Linked DNA regions of Drosophila melanogaster. The protein of the gene in region 3 interacts with the protein of the main gene of each other region in a pairwise test. Each region holds a gene or a part of one and is shown on either strand. Other genes may lie near its edges.

Evidence for each region. Proteins that work in one complex are often made in the same cells at the same time.
Region 1: the proteins of CG12620 (region 3) and Gbs-70E interact in a two-hybrid assay, tested with the Drosophila melanogaster proteins (one large-scale study listed by BioGRID).
Region 2: the proteins of CG12620 (region 3) and ZAP3 interact in a two-hybrid assay, tested with the Drosophila melanogaster proteins (one large-scale study listed by BioGRID).

Annotation. Positions count from the first base shown.
Region 1 is NT_037436.4:14,545,288-14,552,863, forward strand, and holds the start of Gbs-70E (glycogen binding subunit 70E), read right to left. Parts: upstream 5,689-7,576; 5' UTR 5,250-5,688; intron 4,873-5,249; 5' UTR 4,803-4,872; coding exon 4,711-4,802; intron 2,196-4,710; coding exon 1,830-2,195; intron 1-1,829.
Region 2 is NC_004354.4:10,076,805-10,084,457, forward strand, and holds the start of ZAP3 (ZAP3), read right to left. Parts: upstream 5,689-7,653; 5' UTR 5,501-5,688; coding exon 5,129-5,500; intron 5,068-5,128; coding exon 1,682-5,067; intron 565-1,681; coding exon of another isoform or gene 546-564; exon of another isoform or gene 202-545; intron 1-201. Other genes in the region: CG2972 (uncharacterized protein), read left to right, coding at 6,444-6,518, 6,578-7,653.
Region 3 is NT_033779.5:17,083,541-17,091,528, reverse strand, and holds CG12620 (uncharacterized protein), read right to left. Parts: upstream 3,889-7,988; 5' UTR 3,805-3,888; coding exon 2,941-3,804; 3' UTR 2,343-2,940; downstream 1-2,342.

The DNA.
Region 1 (7,576 bases), on a different chromosome or scaffold from region 3:
TTGCATGAACATCAGACATATCTCCCCATCTCTATATATAACCTTACGTTTGTGTGCATTCGTATTCCGAGGCTTGTAATGTTGAAATATTTTTAGTTACATTACACCCGAAAAAATTGTGTCTTTTATGAGATGACGCCTTTCGCTTGATCACGCTTCTATGCTAATAATTCTTCGGCCTTGACGTGAACCGTCTGCCTCGTTTTGTGGTTGATCTTGATGATTTTTGGGGAGGCTAATTAAGACAAAAGAAAGATCTTTCATTGGCTGTCAAAACTCATTGTAAAATGTGGGGCCAAATGGGTGACGAGCAGATGCGATATGCTTTGGAAGGTGATGAATAAGGTCTTCAATTCTTAAATCAAGCCTCCAATAAATATAATTCTTAATAATTTTTCTATTGCATTGCTTTACGTTCTTGTGTTAACTTAAATGAATTATAATTTACTCTGAAGATTTGAATTGGTAAATTAATTTTTTCCCAGTGGATTTCGTAACTGATAAAACGAGGCATACAAAATACGCAACCGCAAAGTGTACACAAAATCTCCAACAGCAACAAGCACACGTCTGGTTTACATTGATAATATTATGGTTAATTGCATTCGTTTGAGTAGCTGCGTAGCTTTAAGCCTGATCTCTTGTCTAGAGACGCAGCCCAAATAGAAATAGTGTTCGCATTTGACGCAAATGAACGTATAAATTATTTTCTCTATCTCGTGGCATATGTATTTTTAGGCATTTCTCAAAATGTCAGATTCAAGTGCAAAAAGGAAATTATTTCTAGGGCTCGTTGAAAGCGAAATATACATATGTATACAATTTTACAAAATATCTGCGAGACATCGATAACCCAAATATTTTCATGGCCTGCACATGAATCGATAATGTATCTTCCCTATATATAGCGAATAAATGGAAATGGAAAACGAAAATAATGGCGCCTCGCTGTTGGGGTCTATACTAAATACCAGTCTATTCCCATTTGAGTCTTAAAATGTGAGATTTTTTATCTCAGATATACGAGATACAGATTCTCGACTCGCGATGCAGTGGCGTGTTTTTATTTTGGCTTATTTCTACAGTCATTTAGATAATTTATATTTTGTTTTTGTGAAATTGCATGCTCTTAAAAATATATAAAATATATTTTCAAGTATATTTCATGATCTTTTTGCATTTGTTTAGCCTGGCGGCCGTCTGCAATTGGCTTTCTCAGCTTATTTAATAAATGACATGTGCTCGGCTATGACGTCTGTGGGAAAGTTGTTCGACTGCCAACAGATTTTCTTATTCCTTTTACTAGAACTATTGCAAATGTCTTATAAACGATTAATCTTTGTTTATAAAATATTATGGCGGAAGTGGTATTTTCGCAGTTTTATAAGAAATGATCTTTTCACGTTCCAATTTTTAGAACCAAAATCCTATCCTCCCCATATTAAAATTCAAAGATTTAAGTTTGAATCATAAGCTTTCGATTTCTTTTTGACCACAGTCTACATAGTTAAGATGCGCTATGAAAACCATCTACAGCTTCTTGTGTTACTTTCTCGGACTTTCCTTAAGATTTCCCCTCAATTGACATCTTACTATTTAATGAATCTGTTATAGGTTGATACACCCAATTCTGACCACAATTACCCAGGCTCTCACACCACTAAGTTCCCATCTAGTTCAGTTGGTGGTTTAATAAGTGCGGCGCCATAATCTTTGAAGGCCTGACGTCAAAGTGACTGAGTCCGCCGGCATTTACAGCCTTCTTGATCGTTTCGGCGCCGCTGTATCGAGTTACCTACATTACGTAATCTTATCGCCCGCACACTCACCTCACTTCGCCGTTGCTGTCACTATCCTTGCTGCAGATACAGCTATGACTGGCACTGTCCGCGACATCGGTGTCCGTCGGCGAGAGATCTGCGGAACTGGCTGTAGTGTTCTGGGATTTGTGCAGGCAGGATTTGCGGCTGAGACAGGATTTGGGCTGATTGGTGAGTAGCGGCGCCGAGGCCATTCGCTCCAGGTAACTCCGTCCGGAACGACTGCCCACGCCCAGGGGCGTGGCACCCGCCTTCTGCTGACTGGGACCCTGACCCTGGACCGCCGCCGAGGCGTTGTTGACCATGGCTTTGGAGGCCAGCGTTATCACTTGGGGCCGGCAGTAGCGCGACGCTCTGTTGGGCTCGTCATTGTAGCTGAAACAAGGTATGCAAGTTTAATTGGTTTATTTTTGTATTTCAAAACTTAAATTAATAACTATAAAAATGTTTCTTAAAATAAATTTATTTAATATTTATTTCATAACTTAATTTCGTTACTATTCTGTCCTTTTAAATGAGTGTTGAATTCGTTCAAAAAATCAAAAGGTTGAATATCGAAGGTTGAATATATCACAATCAGTTAAAATATATATCTCTAACACCACTAATTGAAAATATAATTTCTATATTTAAACATCAGCAGATGGTAGCCATCTTTCAATTGTTTTGACCATTTTTTGTGATTCTTTTTTCGTTTGGAAAGCAGAAAAGAAATTCCCAAGATCAGTCTTTTATTTCAAGCATCTACGCATTAAGCTGCCTTTTATCAGTCCTGATAAGAGTGGTGGCTTTAATTTTTACTGCCTCAATGCCTGCCTTCATTGTTCGGAGGCCCATGTACTACTTGTATTTGTACTTGTACTTGTGTAGTCCTACTGATACGTGTATATTGTCTATAAAGAAACATCGCTGATAAGAGGAGTTGCGCGCGACCTCCTCACTTAATTCGGGTTTGCCGTGGGTGGGAAATGTATAGTATGAATATGAAGCATATTTGTTTGGGTTCTTCAGTGAGTCATTTCTAAAATTGTATAGTCGGAGAGACTCGCTGGTCTTACTCATTTGGCACAGTTCACATCCCATTTGTAGTTATCATAATTTTTCGGCTAGACATTCATAAAACTAAAAGTCAATGGTTGATAAGGATCGTTCAATGGGGTTCGCGTGGACTTTTGCATGCTAAACATATGTTGACGGCATGCTGATACGTCTTTTTCGGCGTGGGCCTGGCTATGGGAACATTTCCGTCTGCTCTGCTGTTATCATCAACTTTTTTTGGCTAATTGGCGCTGTCTGGAGACAATATCAGCATATTTAGTGCTTGAGTTGGCAACCAAAAGAATTCAATCATTTTCGATGACGACCCGCCCAGTTACGTGGGTAGTTCTAGGTATTGGGTGGGGTAAACTGTTGTAAAATCACGCTGTGAAATTTCAAGTGAGTTGACGCATTAGCAGCTGAGTTACTTGAGTTGGTTGGAGTACTCGGTTTGTTTGAAGGCATGCCGCTCACGTGCCCCGATAAGAAATGTTCATAGTTGTAGGGATCGCAGTAGGGCTTTCGCATGTATTACCTCCCACAGTTTTATCTACTGAACCTCTTTAATCTTAACTGATTATTTAGTTTTTTACCGGTTCTTGTAGCGTTTGTTTTGCTTGGCCATACTCTAGATATAGATTTATTTTTAGCTGAAGTCCTCATATATACGAATATAAGTTATACGAATTTTCGGTATTGTATATTTATCATTCCCAAAAATAAAATACTCTCAACAAATATGATGAAAATGCAGCGCGTGCAGCAAATGAAGCACGGCAAATTGCTTTAATTCAATCAATTGCTCTCGCCTCTGTATAAATATAATATATAGATATTACCCTTCTTCCCTTTACCAATTTGTCAAATTTTCGGCTTGCTCGTGTGCCCCTGAGAAAAAAAGTTGCGTCAAGCGCCACGCGCAAATTGTCGCCAAGCAAATTTTTGGCGTCACCCCCACGACTCGTGAACGAATCTTCAAATCTCAGTTGGCTCCACCAGCGAAAGATCACCTCAGAATCGGCGAAATGTTTGTTTTGGTTCAGTATTCTGTCTTGCCTTGATCTTGAATGCTTGCTTTTCATATTTTGCCAATCTGTTGTTGTCAACCAAAAACGAGCCTTAGCACGAATATTTTTAGTACCTGCATTCATTGTGTTTTCGAATAGTTCTCAGGTTTTAATACTATGTATTGGGTAAGACATGTTTCCTGCCTTTGATCAGGTGTTAAAATTTCCATAGACGACACTTGAAACAGGTGTTTCATGTGAATCAATATGGGCAGCCCTCGAGAGATCGATAATATTCCTTTTCTGGATTGTGTAAACAACTGAGTTCTTATATTCATTAAATGGAATTACGGCATTCCGGTCTGTTTATTTTGTTAATGTGGGTTATGTTTGGGTATTTTGAAATTTGTTTTAAATTTGAATGTTTAAAATTATTGTTTAAATATTCGCCAGAGAGAACGCCTAATGCAAAAGGGTATTAATCATTTTTATCTGTTATGTATTTTTTATCTCTCAGTTTAATTCATTTACTATCACATGGTTTTTCAGGTTATCAGACATTTATATCGTTTCTCTTATTAACACGTACACCACTTGTTAAATTCATAAAAGATGATGCATCAGAAAATGCTTCTAGTTCCTTATCAATCGATAAGAAAGTTAAAAAAATATTTTCTTTCGACATGAAAAAACCTGAGAATTGGTACTCTTTCAATGATGTTTGGCTATTTAATTTGTTTTGATTGGCTGCCGAAACTCGTGGATTCACTTAGAGCAATTCTGTGTTAAATTAGTCCAATTGCTGGCTATATTTATTTATGAGTTATATACTTTTGTAAACTTACTTCAACGATTGACGGGGATGTCCGCTCATGAAGTCCGCCAGAAAACTAACGGGTGGACTGTGACTGAATATGGGCGGACTGTGCGAAATCATTTTATATATGGCTTCGATCTGCGCTGATTACAATGATCTCTACAAACAAGGAACTTTGGTATGGAAGCCCCTGTGGAAAAATATAGAAAATTAACGATTTGTTTTTGTTGCTAATCGAAGCGCGGCAATAAATGAACGTTTAATTGGAAAGTAATGTGTAAATAGAATGCATGATCCGAATATATAATATATGTTTATGAAATTTCATATTAATTGCTAATCTCAGGTGGAATCGGAATTAATGATGGTATAATATAGCAATACCATTTCCATAAGAGATAACATTCGAAACGTTGTTAGTTTGGTCCAAATGCATGTTAAAATCAGTTTGATTCGAAACAAGGTGATGTAAATGCTGATACCCAAAATAATAAAATGCCCCCCTTCTTATGTTTTATAAAGTTTTTCATGATATGTTTATTGTGTAGTTTTAGCTTTACAACTAACCGTTAATTGTTATCTCCACTCTGTTTTCCGCTTCACTTTTGACTTCTGGCTAGGAGGTAAGGAACTTTTCTTTTTCTTGTGCAGTCAATCCACTTTAAATTTTACTGTGATCTTTCTTTCTTTGATCTTATTTAAATTTTTACTTTTTCATTTGTACATCACGCGTGAGCGTCAGACAATGAAAAACGATCGTTGGGACGGAACCTTAATTGAATTTATTAAAATCCTCCGATCGGGGCACTTTTTTCGTGGTCACACACACAAAACGACGAACGATTTTTAATAGATTTTTCGCGGACTTTGCTTAAGTGTAGCTAAATTTTCTTGTGTCAATTATTTAACACGGACAAAAAAACAGCAACTAGTTTCCGTCGCGTTCCCCGCTTCGTTCCGTTCCTCCTATGAACCGTACGCTTCGACGATGCGAAAACGAATGAAAATGTTTGTTGCTGCAACTTGCCGTTAAGACTTGATCGGGGCGACAGAAAAAGAGAGAGAGAGAAAAAGAAAAAGAGAGAGATTGGTTGTTTGAATTCCCTTCCAAGACATATAGACATGTTAGTGGAGCGTTTGTAATGTTATCAGAATGTTATATATTCAAGAGGCCAGTATATAAAAACAGAAAACAGAAATAACAGTAAAGCAGAATAAAATAAAATCATCCCATTTTTACTACTAATGAACGACCACATAAAACAGTTAAGTTTTCTGCTCTGTTAGTACTTTAAAGGGTATACATAATTCAGCGTTCTGAACTCGCGTTAGGTTTCTAGAATAGCCCCGGTCTCTCTCTCACTCTCTCTCTCTCTCCTGATCGACGTGGCTTGCATATTTTGATTGCATTTTGGTATTCCGCAGTGATTGTAGTTGTGGTTTCGATTTAGCGTCGGTCCTAGTTGCTTTGATTAGTTTTGGCGCCACTGGCGGTGACAAAAGTCAAAACGGGTGTCAGCCCCTCGAGACATGATCACATGCACGGGAAGCATCCCATCTCCCAAAATCAAATTTCCCACTGAGCCTCGTGGCGCTCAAGTGAATTTCAAGGAGTTTGGCAAACACTTTTTCCGTCTCAGCTTTTTAAATATTTATCTTATCGAAGTCGATAGGTTATAGCCTCTGGTCTGTTCAGTTCAATATTTATAGCCTTACGAACTAGAATTGGTATTATTAGTTAAATTGTTTTTTATTATAAAAGATATTTCACACACAGATTTATAAGGGCCTCTTCCGCACTCAATTGAATATGGGACATTATTCACCACTCGACTCATTTGTGAGTGGGTTTTGGTTTTATGTGTCTGCCCACGCATTTCTTTTATGTGAGGGTGCTCCCCTGACATATGTAAATCAATTAGGCCTTCCATTAGGGTCTCGTGAATGAGACACTTTTAGTCTATTTTCATTGCTGAACTTATAAAAAGCTCTTCGAATTTAATCGATTTTGGTAATAAAAAAGGAAAATATGCAACTATATTAATTGAAATTTTTTATAAATAATAAATACTATAAAACCTAAGTCTATGTCTCAAAAAGTACTTTATCTGCTTTGATAAGTTATCAGCTGATTATAAATGCATTCGTATTAAAAATAGTCCAAGTCATTAGTGATTATAGCTTAAAATTCCTCATCAATCCCATAAAACTCGCGCGTAAGGCCATTATTAAAATAGAAATCAACACCTAAACCTGCGTAAGAGGCTCAAAATTTCAAATACTCAACTAATGAAGCATTGAAATTGATTTTCCTCGTCGCTTTTTCTTTTCCAATCTATGCATGTAGAGTTCAGGCCAGTTTCGACCCACATGATATCTGTCGTACCCACATCAAAACTGTCCCAGACAAGCGGAAACCGCTGAATGCAACCAAGTCTGCTCAAAAATGCAGTCTCAGGCTCGACTATTCGGAACTCGAAATTGTGGTTGGGCCTCCTTTATATAGAGACTGTATATGTATTTGAGTTTTATCTATGCTCTATTTTTGGTGTGCGTGCTCGGTGTACATTCACTCATGGCGGTTCGGTGCATAGGCATGGACATTCGAGTCTTTTTCTTTTTTGATCAGGGAAATGTTTTCGTAATGCCTGATTTGAAATCACATCTCGAAGCCCATGATAATGCAACTCTCTGAAGAGATCACGCTTTTTGTCTCTCAAGAGCCTCAACGACTGTTAAACAAAAACGTACTTTGAATGCGCACTTTCTTCATTTCTTCTTCGACTGCCAACGCAGCATCCCATTGAACCTCGCTGATGAAGGGGGTTTCTGCGGACAAAGGGGTTTCGAAAGGGGTTAGGGGCAAAAGAGCCGGCCGGCTAAGTTGCTTGCCT
Region 2 (7,653 bases), on a different chromosome or scaffold from region 3:
TCGAATCGAGAGATTTCTGTTTGCAAAGCAAAGAAGTTACTTATATAACTGCGTCGATTTGAAACGAACAAATAATATATAATAATTAGGTGAGAGCTTGGTCTATTTCTAAGTGATATTGCAGGGCAGAAGAAAGTAAAAATAGTTTATACCAAGGAAGCAACAAAATTAGATCCATACATGACGTTTTTTTTTTTTTTTAATTTTTTTTATACTCTTTTATTCGTTTTCTGCGAATGTGGCAGATGCGTATGCGTGATAATCTTAATATTATAGATCTTTCTCTGACTTCTGTACGCTGCATGTATATATAGCTAGTTATATATATTTAAGTATGTTTATTTTCGAGGAGTTTTCACGATCTGCCCTCCCTCGGATAGCCGCCCCCCAAAACAAAGTCTGTCCTCTGTCGCCTAATCAGATCCCGAATTCGAGTGTTCAGAGTTCAGAGTTCAGAGTTCAGAGTTCAGAGTTCAGAGTTCAGAGTTCAGAGTTCAGAGATCAAAGATCAGGTCCTGCGCTGCTGCTGCCGTTGCTGGAGCTTCCTACCGCCCCCTTCTCTTGCTGCACAGACAATGGATCAGACACAGATTGGTGGATATATGCATATATGCATAGGTATCGGGAACATCGCCAACAATCAATCAATACCACCGTTTAGATATTCATTTGCGTGTTGGTTTTCGTATTCGATTTGGTTATCGTTCGTTTGTAAGATTGTTTTAATTATATTTTTATATTCAGTATTTATATATCAGTATTGCATAAAAGTAGAAGAGAAGAAGAAAAAAACGGGGTTGGAATCGAAATTCCAGCATTAAAGATAACTAGAAAATGGCCTGGACAAGTTAACTAAATTAAATTTGATGATATCAATACAGATACAGATAGAGAAAGTGAAGGGTTACAAAAATGTGGGTAAGAGGGGGGATCGAGCGGAATAGTGCCCAACGAGAACGATATATATATATATATATATATATATATATATCTATAGGCTATCTGAACATCAGGCCGTTTGAGAAGGCATCCCACGGATATGCGTAATGTGAATAGAGCTGAATAAATAAGCATAGGAAGCAGATTGTCTACTTATTCGAAAACGTTGCATCAGATATTTCAGATATTTGTTAGCCCATCGATAGGCGATAGTACTGCGTACATTCGGACAAACAATCATTCGACGGCCCACAGGTTTTTGATAATGTTTTGGGTTTGGGTTAACCCCCAACGCATGGATTGATTAGGCATAATAATGGACTGATTATTCATAATAAAAACACTTAAAACAGTAACTATAAGTGCAAATAGCATCTGTACTTAATACAAAATCAACGAATTTACTGAATGGATAATGTTGTTTAAGGTTGTTTTTTTTTAACGTTTCAAAGATATGCATGCAGCCCTACTTGAATTTCCCCAAAACAAACATATTTCCAGATTGTACCATCCAAATGAATACTAATAGCAAGTGCTCTTGAGAAGATAACGTTCCCATATCTTCCTCAGACAATCAGACAATTGATATTGGAATTTGGCAGAGCATAGTGGGAGGGGAAAGAATCATCTTTCCCCGTTCCACAATTTTTTGTCAAGATATAACATTTCGATATTATTGTATACGTAGTGAAAAGATATTCAATCAAGTCGAAAAAGTTAAAAACAGATTGAAGACACATACCCGTCATTCCAGTTCTTCCGATTGTTGTTTCCTCCTCCTCCTCCTCCACCACCACCTCCGCCTGGATTTCCAAAGCGGTTGCCAAAGTTTCTGGGTCCTCTCGGTGGTCCTGCGCCCAGATCATCGTTGCCAAAGCCCGGACCCGGTGGGCCGCCTTGGCGTCGGAAGGGATTATCACTGATTGGTCCACCGTTAAAGCCGCGCATATTGTGACCTGGTCCATTGGGTCCCATGTGGGGTCGTGGACCGCCAAACGGCGGACCGCCAAAGTCATCACGTCCCGGACCGAAAGGACCATCGGGTCCGCGAGGCCCGAAGTTGCGGGAACCCGGACGCGGTCCGAAATTGGGCCCAAAGTTTGGTCCAAAGTTGGGGCCATTTGGTCTGAAGTGTGGTCCGAAATTCGGACCCGGACCCGGTAACGGTCCATTTGGTCTAATGAACGGCCCGCCCGGACCTCTAGGTCCAAAGTTGTGCCCGAAGTTGGGTCCAAAGTTTCCACGCGGTCCTGGACCGTTGGGTCCAAAGTTCCTGCCCGGTGGTCCAAAGCCAGGTGGACCATTGTTATCTAAGTCAATGAAATTATTTCCAGACACTTGATTTGGTCCAAAGACATCGAAACGTGATCCATCGTTTTGACCTGGACCAGAACCTGGACCTCCGCCTGGTCCGTTTCCGGGACCAAAGCCACCAGGTGGGCCATTATTGTCCGGTTTCTCACCGTTATTGGTGCTCACCGAGTCGCCGGCATCCTGCGACTTGTTTTCGTTGCCGCTGTTCTTCTTGCGCTGCCACTCGGCGAAGGACAATGGACGTCCATCCGTACCCGATTCCTGATCATCGCGTTGCTCGTGACGATCGCGCTGCTCGCGTTCCTGTACATTGGCCACCGCCTGGGAGAGATTGTTAATGAAATTTGGATCCTTGAGGGCATTGCTTAGAGATTCGTCGCCCTTCTTGTCGGCGGACACGTCGCCTGGCTGTTTTTCAGTTTCATCAGCCGCTTTCTTTTCGCTGGAATCCTTGAGCACCACATTGAAGACTGAGGACGAATTATTCTTGTTACTGCCATCGTCCACCAAATCCAGACCGGGTATGCCATCGTTCTTCTTGAAAATGCTGCCCATGGGCGTGTTAGGTGCGTCCTGTACCACCTCTTTCTCCTCATCATCGTCGTCGTCGTCGTCCAGGGAAATGGTGAATATGGGCTCCTCCTCCTTGACTTGCTTAGCGGGTATTTGTGAGGGAGCAGCTCTTTGACGGCGCTTGCCATAATTTGTGGAAACCGGAGGAGGCTGCGTGGGCGGAACCACTGTCGGATCTGGCACTACTGGTGCAGCTGGAGCTTTAACTTCGGGCGGCACCACGGGTGCAATCGGTGGAGCCACTGGGGAAGCTGTCGTTTTTGCTTTCTTTACATCAGATGAATTTTCATTTGATGCCGCCGGCTTGGTTGGAATTTCCTGGTTGGATTCATCTGGCTGTTCGTCCAATATCTGCTGGATGGCTTCCTGGGCGGTTTGGTACTGGTTGTGCATCCCCGGTGGCGGTCCTTGGTTGCCTCTGAATGCAGGTACTCCGGCGCTTTCGAAGGGGCGATTCTCTTTTCCAAAATGACCAGCATTTCCGGACTGTCTGTTCCCGTTTCCGAAGTTGGGACCCGATCCGTGATCCTGGTCACCCTGATCGGCAAAACGGCCCTGGCCTTCGAAGGGATCCTTATTTGGCTTCTGCTCCGCGGTCGTGGATGCACCTGCGGCTGCTTCCTTCCTTATGTCTGTGGTCGAGCCTCCTGCCGAACCACCCATCTGCAGTTGGCGACGTCGGCGCATCTGCTCCCTTCTCTCGGCGATGCGACGGCGCTGCTTCTCGAACTCCTCCTCGTAGCGTCGATACTCGTCACGATCCGGATGGTTGGCATTGGCCAGCTTCCATTCTTCGAACTGTTGCTCCCACTGATCGAACAGCAGATCGAAACTGGCCTCGTCCAAATCGGGTGGTTGCTGTTGATTGCGGTTCTGCTGCGACTGCTTGTAGGGCGCATTCGACTGATTGAAGCTGTTGCGCTGATTGTAATTGCCACGATTTGGATTGTAGCCGCCTGGACCAGAATCCCCACCGCCTCTCTCATCGGAAAATCCCTGGTTACGATTGTTATCCCGTCGATTGTTCTGGCGGCGATTGTTACTAAAGTTATTATTAATATTATTGCCGGGTCCTCCACCACGTCCAGCAAAACTGTCCTGGCTTTGCTTGCCTCCACTATCATCTCCAAAGCCGCCAAAGTTGCCTCCTCCTGCACTACCTTGATCTTGGCTATTGTAACTGTTGCCATAATTGCCAAAATCGGACTGTGGATTCTTAATGAATGGGTTCTTGCTTTGGTTTCCATCTCCACCTCCATCACCCCAACTATTGCGGCTATTCTGGATGCTATTTGGCTTGTTGTTAGTCCTCATTGGCGGTGTATCGATGTCGGAATTGATTCCTTGCCAGCGACTCGAGCGGGCATTCTGGCTGCTATTGTTTTGCTGCTGATGGTCCTGTGGCGGATCACTTATACTCGGTGGTGGTCCGCTCATCCAGGAATTCTGGTTTTGATACTGCTGATTGGGATTCGGAAGGCTTGGCGGTGGTTCGCTCATCCAACGATTTAGTTGCTGATCCCCGCCAGACGGCGCTTGATTTGAAGTCCCATCCCAGCGGCGATTGCCATCATTGGTGTTATTGTTAAATGACGTTCCATTCCAGCGATTGTTGACATCATTTGCCGGCGGCGGGCCATTCCAGCGATTGGGTTGGCCGGTATTATCAGGCGGCGGACCACTGGTATCCCAGGTAGGACGATTATTATTGCCCACACCGTGTTGATTATTTCCCCACTGGCCATGGTCCATATGGTTTAAATGCGGCTGCTGCTGTTGCGGTGTTGGTCTCTGCAAACTTGGCGGCGGCTGCTGGAGATTCGGAAATCCCTGGTTGTCTTGCCCGGCAATGTTGTAGTTCATCTGGTTCATTTGACCGCCACCATATCTATTTGGCGGCGGCTGTTGCATTGGCGGTGGTCCTGACCACATGCTTTGGATGTCATTCGGATGCTGATTGTAACCGCCTTTTTGTGGTGGCGGCGGCGGCTGGTTGTACATCTGCGGCTGGGCCATGATCTTACCGGGCAGTGGCGGTGCTCCCGCGACGGCTACGGGTGTAGTTGACTGCGCCGGCGAGGCGCTGACACCTTGGTAATAGTTATGTGCGACAGGATAGGCCTGTGGCCCGGGAGGAGCGACCACAGGGACGGGTGCTGCTGCAGGAGTCGCTACCACAGGCGCGGGCACGCCTTGAACTGCGGTAGTTGTGGCCGCGGCTGCGGCCATTTCACGCTTATACTAAAGATTTGGAAGACTACTATAGCAATATGATCGTCGATAACTAATTGATTTGACCCACCTGCTCACCGTACTGGGCATGCCACTTGGCGTACTCCTCCTGGTATGTCTGCCACTGTTGCCAGTGGTGCTGCAGTGCGTACTGCTGTTCGGGTGTCATGGCCGCGTACTGGGCGGCCGTATACTGTTGATAGGGGTTGCCAGCCCCCGTCGCCTGGCCGCTGCTATAGGGGTTGAATCCAGGGGCCGTTGTGACTGCGGCTGCAGTCGTGACTATGGGTGCAGAGGCACCGCTTGATGCTCCGGCTCCGGCGGTCGCGTCCGATGGAGGCGGAGGGGGCGGGGCGTCCGGCAACGGTGGCGGAACCGACGGTTGCGGAGGTAGAGCGGCAGTGGGAGCCACTGCGGCGGCGGTTTGCCATTGGCCCCACATACCGTGTCCACTGGATTGATTAGCCTATTAGCGAATAACACACTTGTACCGCTCGGTTGGGCTTTCACAAAATCCGGCGGATTGGCTCCGTTCCGTTTAAAATCGTCCACCTTTCACTAATTCAGTTTGCTATCTGAACGAATTGATAATGAAAACTTCGCCATATTTGGCTTGAAAACTAGAGATGGAACTGTCAGCTAAATGGGCCGGGCAGTGTGACCGTGCTGCGAGTGTGCATCCATATATCGCAAGCACCCTAGAATATTCCATTGCCAATTAATAAAATAATTTGAATGTAATCCAATGCACTTACAAGCCTACAAATTGAAAAATTAGCAAAGATAGCTTGCTTAAGTGATTGATTCGTAGAAGTTGTATTGATAATACGAAAATATGTTAAAAAAAAAATAAACAAGAAGATCAAACTGGCAGACCTTCTAATGAGCTTTTTGAAAATCTGCAGCAAATTAATAGATTTCTCAGACCAGGCATTTTACTACATTTTTTCATATCTGTAAATATGTTAATATAAGTTAAGTCAAGTGATATTTTGTTTAACTGATGTTTTTTGTAGTTTGTTAAGTAAATTTGGTAATTTTCCAACAGTCCGGCCGAAAGTCTAAGTAGTCAGGACCGATATCTCCCTGTGATAATAATATAATATCTCATAGAAATATATTTTAACATGAATTAATTTTAACAATTTTATTGAGAGCTAGCAATAAAATTTTAGGGAACGCATTCATTTAGCTTTGCCTAACTCTTAAAAATGTAAAATTTAATTAACTAATATTAAAATCACAAATTCATAAACACTTTTTGGTATTTTTAGCATACCCTAACGTAACGGTCACAGCTCACTACAGCCACACTAATCGCGACACGTGCAGAAATTGTTATTTTTTGCCGTCCTTTGTTTTTCATGTGAAAATTAGCACTGAAAATGGCCGAAACGAGCGAAAAGATCAAGTTCCTTGTGGCGGACACCACAGCCTTTATAAACGCCGTGCCCCTGAATGTAAGTCACGCACAATTTGCCCATTCGAGCCATCTAAAGCCGCCACTAATCCCCTACAGGAATACGCGGAGCAGGTGCTCACCGTGCCGGATGTGGTGGCCGAAGTGCGCAACAAGCGCCAGATTCGCCGCCTCTGCGTTCTGCCCTTCGACCTCCAGGTGCGCGAGCCTCGTCCGGAGAGCATTAAACACTGCGTGGAGTTCGCCAAGAAAACGGGTGACTACGCGAGTCTCTCGGGGATCGATCTGAAAGTGATCTCGCTCACCTACGAACTGGAAGCAGACAACGTGGGCACTGATCACCTGCGCCAGGAGCCTGTGATGGCGCAGACCATTGCGTCCAAGGATAAACCCGAGGAGATGCAGGATGCTAATAACAAGAGACTGGTCGGTTGGTACATGCCCGAGGGCGAAGAGGAGGAGGAGGAGGATTCCGAGGAGGAAGATGATTACTCCCAGGAAGAGGACGATGCTGAAGGCGATGAGCAGGAGGCAAATGAATCCCCAGACACTGTTAAAGCCGCCATCGAAGCCCAATTGGCCGGCAAGGAACCATTTGCCAGCGAGACCATCGAAAAGGAGGAGGACCAAGACCAGGAGCCCAGTCAGGAGGAGCTGGACAAGCTGTTCGAGCAGCTCAAATGCGCACCCAGTGCCGAGGAAGAGAAAGAGCTCTCGGAACTGCTCGTTTCCCAGCCGGCCGAAGTAGATGAGGAGGTATCCGAGCCACAAGAAGCCAAACAGAGCCAAAATCTCGACGAGGATGTGGGTGACGATGGCTGGATCACGCATTCAAACATCAAGAAGGCCAAGAAAGCGCTCGAGGGCAAAGTGGAAACGGATGAAGTGCCGCCCGTCGCCTGCATGACCACCGATTATGCGCTGCAGAACGTGCTCAAGCAGCTAAATCTCCACCTGGCCGCCCTCAATGGCCGGATCATCAAGCAGTTGCGCACATATATACTCCGCTGCTACGCGTGCTACAAGACCACCAGCATCATGACCAAGGTGTTTTGCCCCAATTGTGGCAACAAGACGCTGAAACGTGTGGCCGTCAGTCTGGACGAGAACGGTCGCCAGGTGATTCACATCAATACGCGCCGTCCGCTGACCAATAAGTACAAGAATCAGAGCCT
Region 3 (7,988 bases):
GGTCGGGCGGAAAAGCTGGGAGACATATGATGCATATCGCAAATGTCGTTTGCTGTCAGTTTCCGGTTGTTGCAGCAGCCATTTTGTTTATGCATGAACACGAATGCGACTGCGACTGCGACTGCCACTGCCACTGCAACTGCCACTGCAGCAAAAAGAAGGCCGACGAGAGCTGGTGGAAAGCCGTGGGTGTGGAGTCGAAAAAGTGCAAAAGGAAAACCAGGTGGGCGGACTGTACGAGTTCAAGTGTAAACTAATTTCGCGCTTTGCACTTGGTTAGCCCGACATTGAGTTATGATTTTCGGTTTTCTTTTGGGGTCAACACTCATGGCACGTGATGCCTGGCTTTAAGCCATATTTTATGGATACCGTCCGCTCCGTTCCATAGCCACGTTTTGACAGCTTCACGCTCGATGGCAGTTGGTCAAAAGGGTAAACTGTCCCATGAGTGCTTACAAATAAGGTCAATCAATCACTCAATCAATCAAGGTGGCATTTGGGGGATTTGGTCTACCGCTTATGATATCATTACATATAAATTTAATAAAAAACTAAAAAAAATGGAAGTCGTAAATTCAAATAAATGTGTTACAAAGCCGCAAAAATACTTAATATTAATTAGGCATTTAATTGAATTACTAAGCAGTTCTATCTAGAGCAACAAAGCAACATGAAGCCACTTCAAATGCAAAACAGTCATGGGAACTCATTCCATCCTTGATTACCGATCACCTATCGCTAGAAACTTCGATTGCCATCGACGAATGCCGATTGCAGTTGGCTCCCCTCGACGCACATTAAGTCTAAAGCACTCCAAATGCCGCCGATTGCGGTGAACAATTGCTTTGTATCCTTGCTACACGAGGCATGTACATGCAAGGACTCTAGCAGGGACACACTTGAACGGGTTGACATAAGTCACGATGACTGGCCACAATGTTTGGATGATGATTAGGACCAGGCACTTGCAGACCACTTCGCTTGATTTGCCGGCATGACGTGTCACTTTGTGGGCCCCATAAAAAATTAACCAAATTGCCATGCTAAAGATTAATTTCAGCACATTGCGATGACCTAAAATACATTTAATTTTAATTTGGTTTGTTTGAGGTGTGCCAAGTTACAGGATTCTCTTCACATCACTTAATAGAGAATTGCTTGCTTCAATTTAAGGTCAATTTAAGGAAAGGTCAGCTGCACTCGCTTTTCAATACTTATTTAGCCTTGTATCCCTTTTAAAAACAAACTTTCGAGAAAAGAAGCGTGTGTGTGGACTAAAAGCAAACGGCAATTAAATGTCATAAAAGTGCTGTAGTATACTAAAGTAGGGATTACAATCTCTTCGACTTGTTTTTTAACTCCAGACGGGCAGCAGCTGGGACTGCATCCACAGCTGAGGGGTTCAAGCAACCGAGAATGTCTAGACATTTCCAGCTTTAGCCTTCATAGACAACAAAGTCTTCATTAGGCGAATGACGATTTTGCTGCAGATCGTATGACGTGATATTTATTTCCATTTCATGGCCGAAAGGAACGCCAAATTGGCCAAAAATCGAGAACGTCTGGGTTGAAATTGTTGAAGATTACTTAAATGAAAACGCTATTAAGTCCGACGAATTTAATTGCTACACCACCAAAGTGATGTGCCACACAAGATACTGCTAGATTTGAAGTTATATATCGGCATTAAATTTGATGTTAAACTTATATTTATATTGCATCTCTTAAAATTTAAGTTAGGTTTAACATGTCCAGAGAAAACAAGATACTGTGGCTCTTCGCCTATCCGATATCGAATATAATTGGAGAGTAATTGACTCGGTTTTCAAAAGTGTAGGCTGTAAATTGTTTTTTAGCTCATGGAGGTAAGAGAGTTACCGACGGACGTGGCAGTTTTTTCAAACAAAACTTGCACAATTCTTATCACTATACATATTTAACGTGTATACAAAAATTAAACAAAACAATGACCGGTATCGAAAGGGAAAACATGACCGACACAAAAAAGAAAACAAAAGAAAGAAATAGTATGTGTAAACTTCCGTAATTAAAATATTTTAAAAGAATCAAAAACATTTACACGCACAGGCTACAAAGCCATGTTGGCTTGCATAAATGAAAAAAATGGGTATGGATAATAAATGAAATATTGTAATGTAAGTTGAGCTCATACAGATCTGAAAACAAACAAAAGAATTGAAATCGGCACTTGCTTGACAATTATTGTGATGAATGAAAATACCATAATTCTTGTTTATGAATTGAACTAACTAAATATTAATTACATATTACAGAAAGTAAACTTAAAACCAATCCATATTATCCCTAAGAGTAATAATTTTATTAAATTAAAAGGCCAATACAAAATGGCTGTATTTTACGGAATTTCATCGCACACAAAGACTTTTGAAATAATTTCAGCACATTGTCCTTCTAGCTCCTTATTGTCTCATCTTCCTAGTATCCACCCACGCAAAAAAAAGCAAGGAGAAGAATGGAACCCGTTAGGCGTCATTATCGTGCACACTTAGTTATCCCTTTGAATGTCCTCCGTCCCTTCATGTGTGCGCTAGTGCGGGTTTTGTCCTTTATGGCCCAAATAATTGTGCGGTCTCCGGGTCGAGAAAACTATATTTTTAAAGCTGCGCTGGGGAAAGAGAGCGTTGATGGAGTCATTTGAGATCAGAGGCGATTACGGTTATTTGGTGTCTACATTAGCTTGTATGCATTTACGAATATGGGTTTATTTGACTTTACGATTAAAATAAAGCCTTATATAACTTCTGGAATATGAAGTAAAAACATTCGCAGCATTTGGGCTATACGGATTGGATTTTGATTTCCAGCCAACGAAACATTTTCTTAATTTAGGCAACACTAATCTAATGCACAATGAGAAATGGGATCCCATATACATCAATTGCATCAATCAATTTAAGTTTATAAATTTCGCGTTTTTTGACCAGTATGTTTTTTCACACTCGAACTTATGTTTTTCTGTATGGCGCTCAAATTCTTTAGGTCAATATTTTCGCCACGGTCAAGGACCCTAGTGTGTTTTTCTTCTTCTGGAGCTGTTTTATCAATGACTTCCGGAGCAGTTGGTGGTAGTACTGTTTCCGGTTCTGGTTCTGGTTCCGGTTCCGGTCGCGGTTCCACTGGCGGTTCCGGTTGCGGTTCCGGTTGCGGTTCTGGTTCCGCGGGAACGTACACTATCGGCGGATCAGGAGTCTGGCTTATAAGCTTATTATAGCAATGATGGGCGGGATGGAATCCGGGCTCGGGATCCTCCTTTGGCAGACTGTCGTCGGAAATCATCGATTGGTCTGTAGCCCGATCGTATTGGAAGTACGGAAGTAAGTCGTCGGAGTCTGTGCCGCAGGGCGGACACTCCTCTTCGGCGATCTCGGAGATATGTTCATCATCCACGCTTAGTTGACTCTCCGATGACTCTGTGAACTCCTCGCGGATCAGACGCCTGGCCAACTCGACCGTTGAGAACTCAGTGTAGTGCAGCTTTCGGCGTCGTACGAAGGATATGCGTCTGGCTCGCTCTTTGATAGTCTCCAGGAATTCGAAATCTTCGGAGTCGTCCGAGCTGCAGGATGGATCATGGGCGAAGAAGTCCGGCGTCGTGAGCTTCACCTCCTTATGCAGTTTTTCCATTAGCTCCTTATGAGACATGACCTTCTCGCCGGTTTCTCTTTTTATTGACGAGGCCGATTCATTTTCCACTTCATAGGGGTCCGAGTGAACGGGTACTCCCAGGTTCATTTTATCGAACCTTGTTCTTTTAGTCGTCATGGTTATAAGACAAAATGTGTTTGTTTTTTTTTTTTAGGTTCTACTTCTTATTTTTGGGATATATAAAATGTTTATACGTTTAAGTTTTATTTCTGCCCAGACTGAACTAGATGTGTTAGCTTTGATGTTTTAATCTATGTTAACTAGCTTAGCCTTATATCGGAAAAAATTCAGTAATTCATTTTAATCATGATCATTAGAAAAATAATATAATACTTCCAATGCAAATGCCTTAATATATTTGACGCTCTCATTTGCGTTTCGTTTTTTTCTTGTAAATTTACCCCACGACTTCGCTTAATCAAACCATATCGTGGACTTCAGTCTGGCTACCATGGCTACTACATTTTTTGATAACGGCCGCGATTTGCCTACGTTCCATAATTTGATGTCACATTTTTCCCACAACGCGGGTTAAGTGTTTAACCTCTGGTGCGAGTGGGCACAAAAAAAAGGGCGATATCTCGACAAAAGAAATTTGTTTGCGAGCCAATTTCGATTGTGTCAAAAGGACGGTTATTTATTGGACCGCAGGCGTCATTGTCTAGCCATCGATGGGAATAAATATGCCTGTGGCGTCTCACAAGGATGCATAAATTGTCAAAACGAGATTTCGACTTGCGATGAATTTAATTGGATTGCAAAAGTTTCTTCGCGTATCGCAAAACCGAAAATTGAGCTGTTGAAACGTGACGTTTCCACCAACTCAAACGGAACCGCAGCCAATATGCATACAATTAAACTGTATTTTCGGCATCTGGTTTTGGGATAAAAGCGCCTTTTATGGACACTCCATTTGACCCACATTCGAAGAAGGAATTCTGCCAAGAATAAAATGTTTATTTAGCATTTTATGCCAAAAGAGAGAGCGCTAAAATTATTTACGCAGCATCAGGCGTGTCATTTGCATGTGCCACGCCCCAGGCCCCCAGTCACAAAAAATTCAAGGCGATGAATCCCACAAAAATACGCTAAAAGTATTTACATTTGACTCGGAAAAATTATACATTTCCGTGCAAATAAAAAGCAAGTCCAAAGCATCTAGTCGGTGGGCGGGCAAAGGGGCGGACAGCATCGGAGGATGCCCGGAAATAAAACCAGAATCCGAACCAGAAAGCAGATTAGAGATCCTTGAGGAAGGCCACACGAACTCGAAATGCTCTAGGTGACGATTTCCCAAAAAAATATAAATTAAATTGGAAAAATTTCTTTAAGAAAAGCAATACATTGATTGACACATTTTATTTCTTAAATACAAGAAACTATATTAATATTCCAAAAAGTATGAAAGCAGATAAGTGGATTCATTTTGATAATGCCGATGAGATTAAATAAGGTATCGAGAATATCGAGGTGTTGCATTCAGTTCGTAATACTCAAGCCGCTCCTTCGATAAAGGACAACGGCAGGCGTGGCAAAAAAGCGCGTTGCAAAGAGGAAAAGCTTCAAATCCGCAAACAAACACTGTGACAGCTACAATGCGGGGAACTGAAAAGTGGGTGGCGCTGGGCAGAAAAACCCAGTCACCCGACCGAATGAAATGTACTCTCTATTGACATTTGATTCCAGCCTCACTTGGCTGGGAAATAAAAAATATATATGTGTATGTCAGGATGTGTACAAGTGCAGAGCGGACGCAGTTAGACCCGTTAAAGGGGTGGGGGGATTTGTAAATGCGGAAAAGGGGCAGCCGGGTTCTTCACTTTGTTGCACAAAGCCTTGCTCAGATTTCGGTGAAGGAAAACTCGTCGCTTTTCACTCTTCGAGGCTGTCGTTTTTCGTTTCATTGTTTGTTTGTTTGTTGGTTTCGTTTCGTTTCGTTTCGCCTCGTGCTGTTCCGTTTTCGCTTTTGTTTGTTCGCCTGTGGATTGTGTTTCCTGTTACAAGGCTTCCAGGATCCCATCTCCCTTACCCATCTCGAATCCCCTGTCCTGTCGCCTTGACGCATAAATTTGCCTTAATTTGTTGCAAAATAATTTCATTCATTTACGTGCTGCCATTTACATGGCCGTCGGTCCACGTTGATAACTTATTTAAGCGCTCTTTTCCCCAGCGAAGGAAAAACAAAATTTGAACAAAATAAATTATCAAACTGTCACATTGACGTATCGCCCAAGTGAGACAATCCGGGCAAACCGAGGAGTCAACGGGGAAAAGTCGGGCCAATCTCCTGGCCATAATCTAGAGCATCATGTTGCTCGTTTAAAGGATGTCAAAGGTTGGCCATATATCAGCAAAAGGCATCAAACGCAGTCGAGTCGAGGCATCGGCTTCAGCCCGTTAACAATTTCATGTAACAAATTCTTCGTGCCCGATGCCGGACACGGATACATGGTCAGGAGTGTTCGCCACTGGAGTGGGTGTAAGAGGAGCACTTGGAGAATTATTTTAAGAATATTTTACTATCCATTTTATGAAGAAACTTAATTAACGACATTATTCATAGTAAAAACATTTAGCAAATATATAAACAAAGTAAAAATGACTAATTATTCCTGCATTTATATAATTTAAGCCAATAAGCTGTGTGAAGAATCCCACATAAGCAAAGCATACAAAATCGGTTTTATAGTGAAAAGAAGTAACTTATTTCTCGCAGTGTCGACACCCGAGCTGTTTCAGATTTCCAATAAATATGCCTAGGGTGGTTGTGGTCCTTCTGCTGATCCTGATACCGCCTCTGGTTCTGGTTCTGGTCCTGTACTACTCTCCTCTGCACTGCGTTGGGTTTGGACTCGGAGCCACCGCACTTCCTGCTGTCTGCCACCCACTGTCGCTTATTTGACATCCTGACAGTTTCGACAGTTGCCTCTCGTTTCTCGCTCCACGACAAAGTGCGTAGGGACGCCGGACGATGAACGACGGCCAGAGCTTTGTTTATTTATATGGTTTATACGGTCGGGATGTGTGTGCAGGTTACCTTGTGCCGGCGCTGCGGTTGCTCCCGTAAACGATGCTTTGTTGGAAAAGCGGGAAAATCGGAAAATGCCGCAGAAAAATATCCATCGCACGCGGGTCTCCGGGTTCAAGGTGTAGCCCAGCATGTGACAAGGATTCGATGCTAACCCAGCTCTCGGTGTGTGTATTTGTGTACGGCACTGTTAGCCACTAACAAGCGGCTAAAATCTGTCGCCAACAATGGTGGCAATTGGATGTGGAACACTTGGTAAGGGTTTCAATCTGGCGGGGACTCAACATCTTTGATGTGGGTACAATGTTTCTGGGTTTCCTGGGATATCCAAAACTTCCAAGGGTTGAGAAAAGTCCTTTCAGTAATTTGGTTGCTTTATCATTAGAACTATCTTTTTCTATATAAATTTCCCTAGACTTTTAAAGAATGCGAGTGTAAATAAATGATACTTAAATATTATTTGCTTATTCTGTGCCTTGATCCCACTGTTCTTCAAGTGAATTGCCACCTGAGACAATGTAATTTTTGAATACTTCATCGGTTACTTTGGAGCGGAGTGTTTGAGGCTTGAGGTTCATAAAGGTGGCAAGTGAAATTAGATATCACTGTTCAGCTCGAATTCTACTTGAAATTGAGCTGTGAACTGTGAGCTCGATCTCGACCGATTGGCACACATATTTTCCGCTTTTGTTTGCAATTATGCGGCAAATGGAAGCAGCTTTTAGAATGAAGCGACCAACCTATCCATGCTCCATCCCATTTTGCTGTGGATCCGGGGTCTTGTTGATTTTACCGATTCCGCTGCAGGCCAACGGATGCTATGGACACACACAAGACAAACGGATGGACAGAAAGTTGTTTGCTTCATTGGCTGCCACAAAATATCAACAAGCATTTTGTTTATTTTCTCAACAAAACAAACACACACACACACACAGACCGACGTCCATTAGAAGGGGTTGTCAGGGGACTGAGGAAGATATCCTGGCTTTTTTAAGTGCATGTTGTTTTAGCGTTTGTGACATGCAACTGCCAGGGGGAAATTGAATCGAACCGAATGGATGCGAAGCGAAGCTTCAGTCCCAAATTTATGCAACTTCAATAGCATGAATCAATTGTTTGACCACTGAAGAGCTTGGTCATCCTTCGTCCTTCGGCTGAAGTGCCATTTTCGTGCAAACTCAGTGCAAACTGAGTCGGCAAAGTGAAAAACCATCTAGTCTACAACGTATTTATATTTGCTTGTTGATCATCCGATTGGCTTTTCATTACG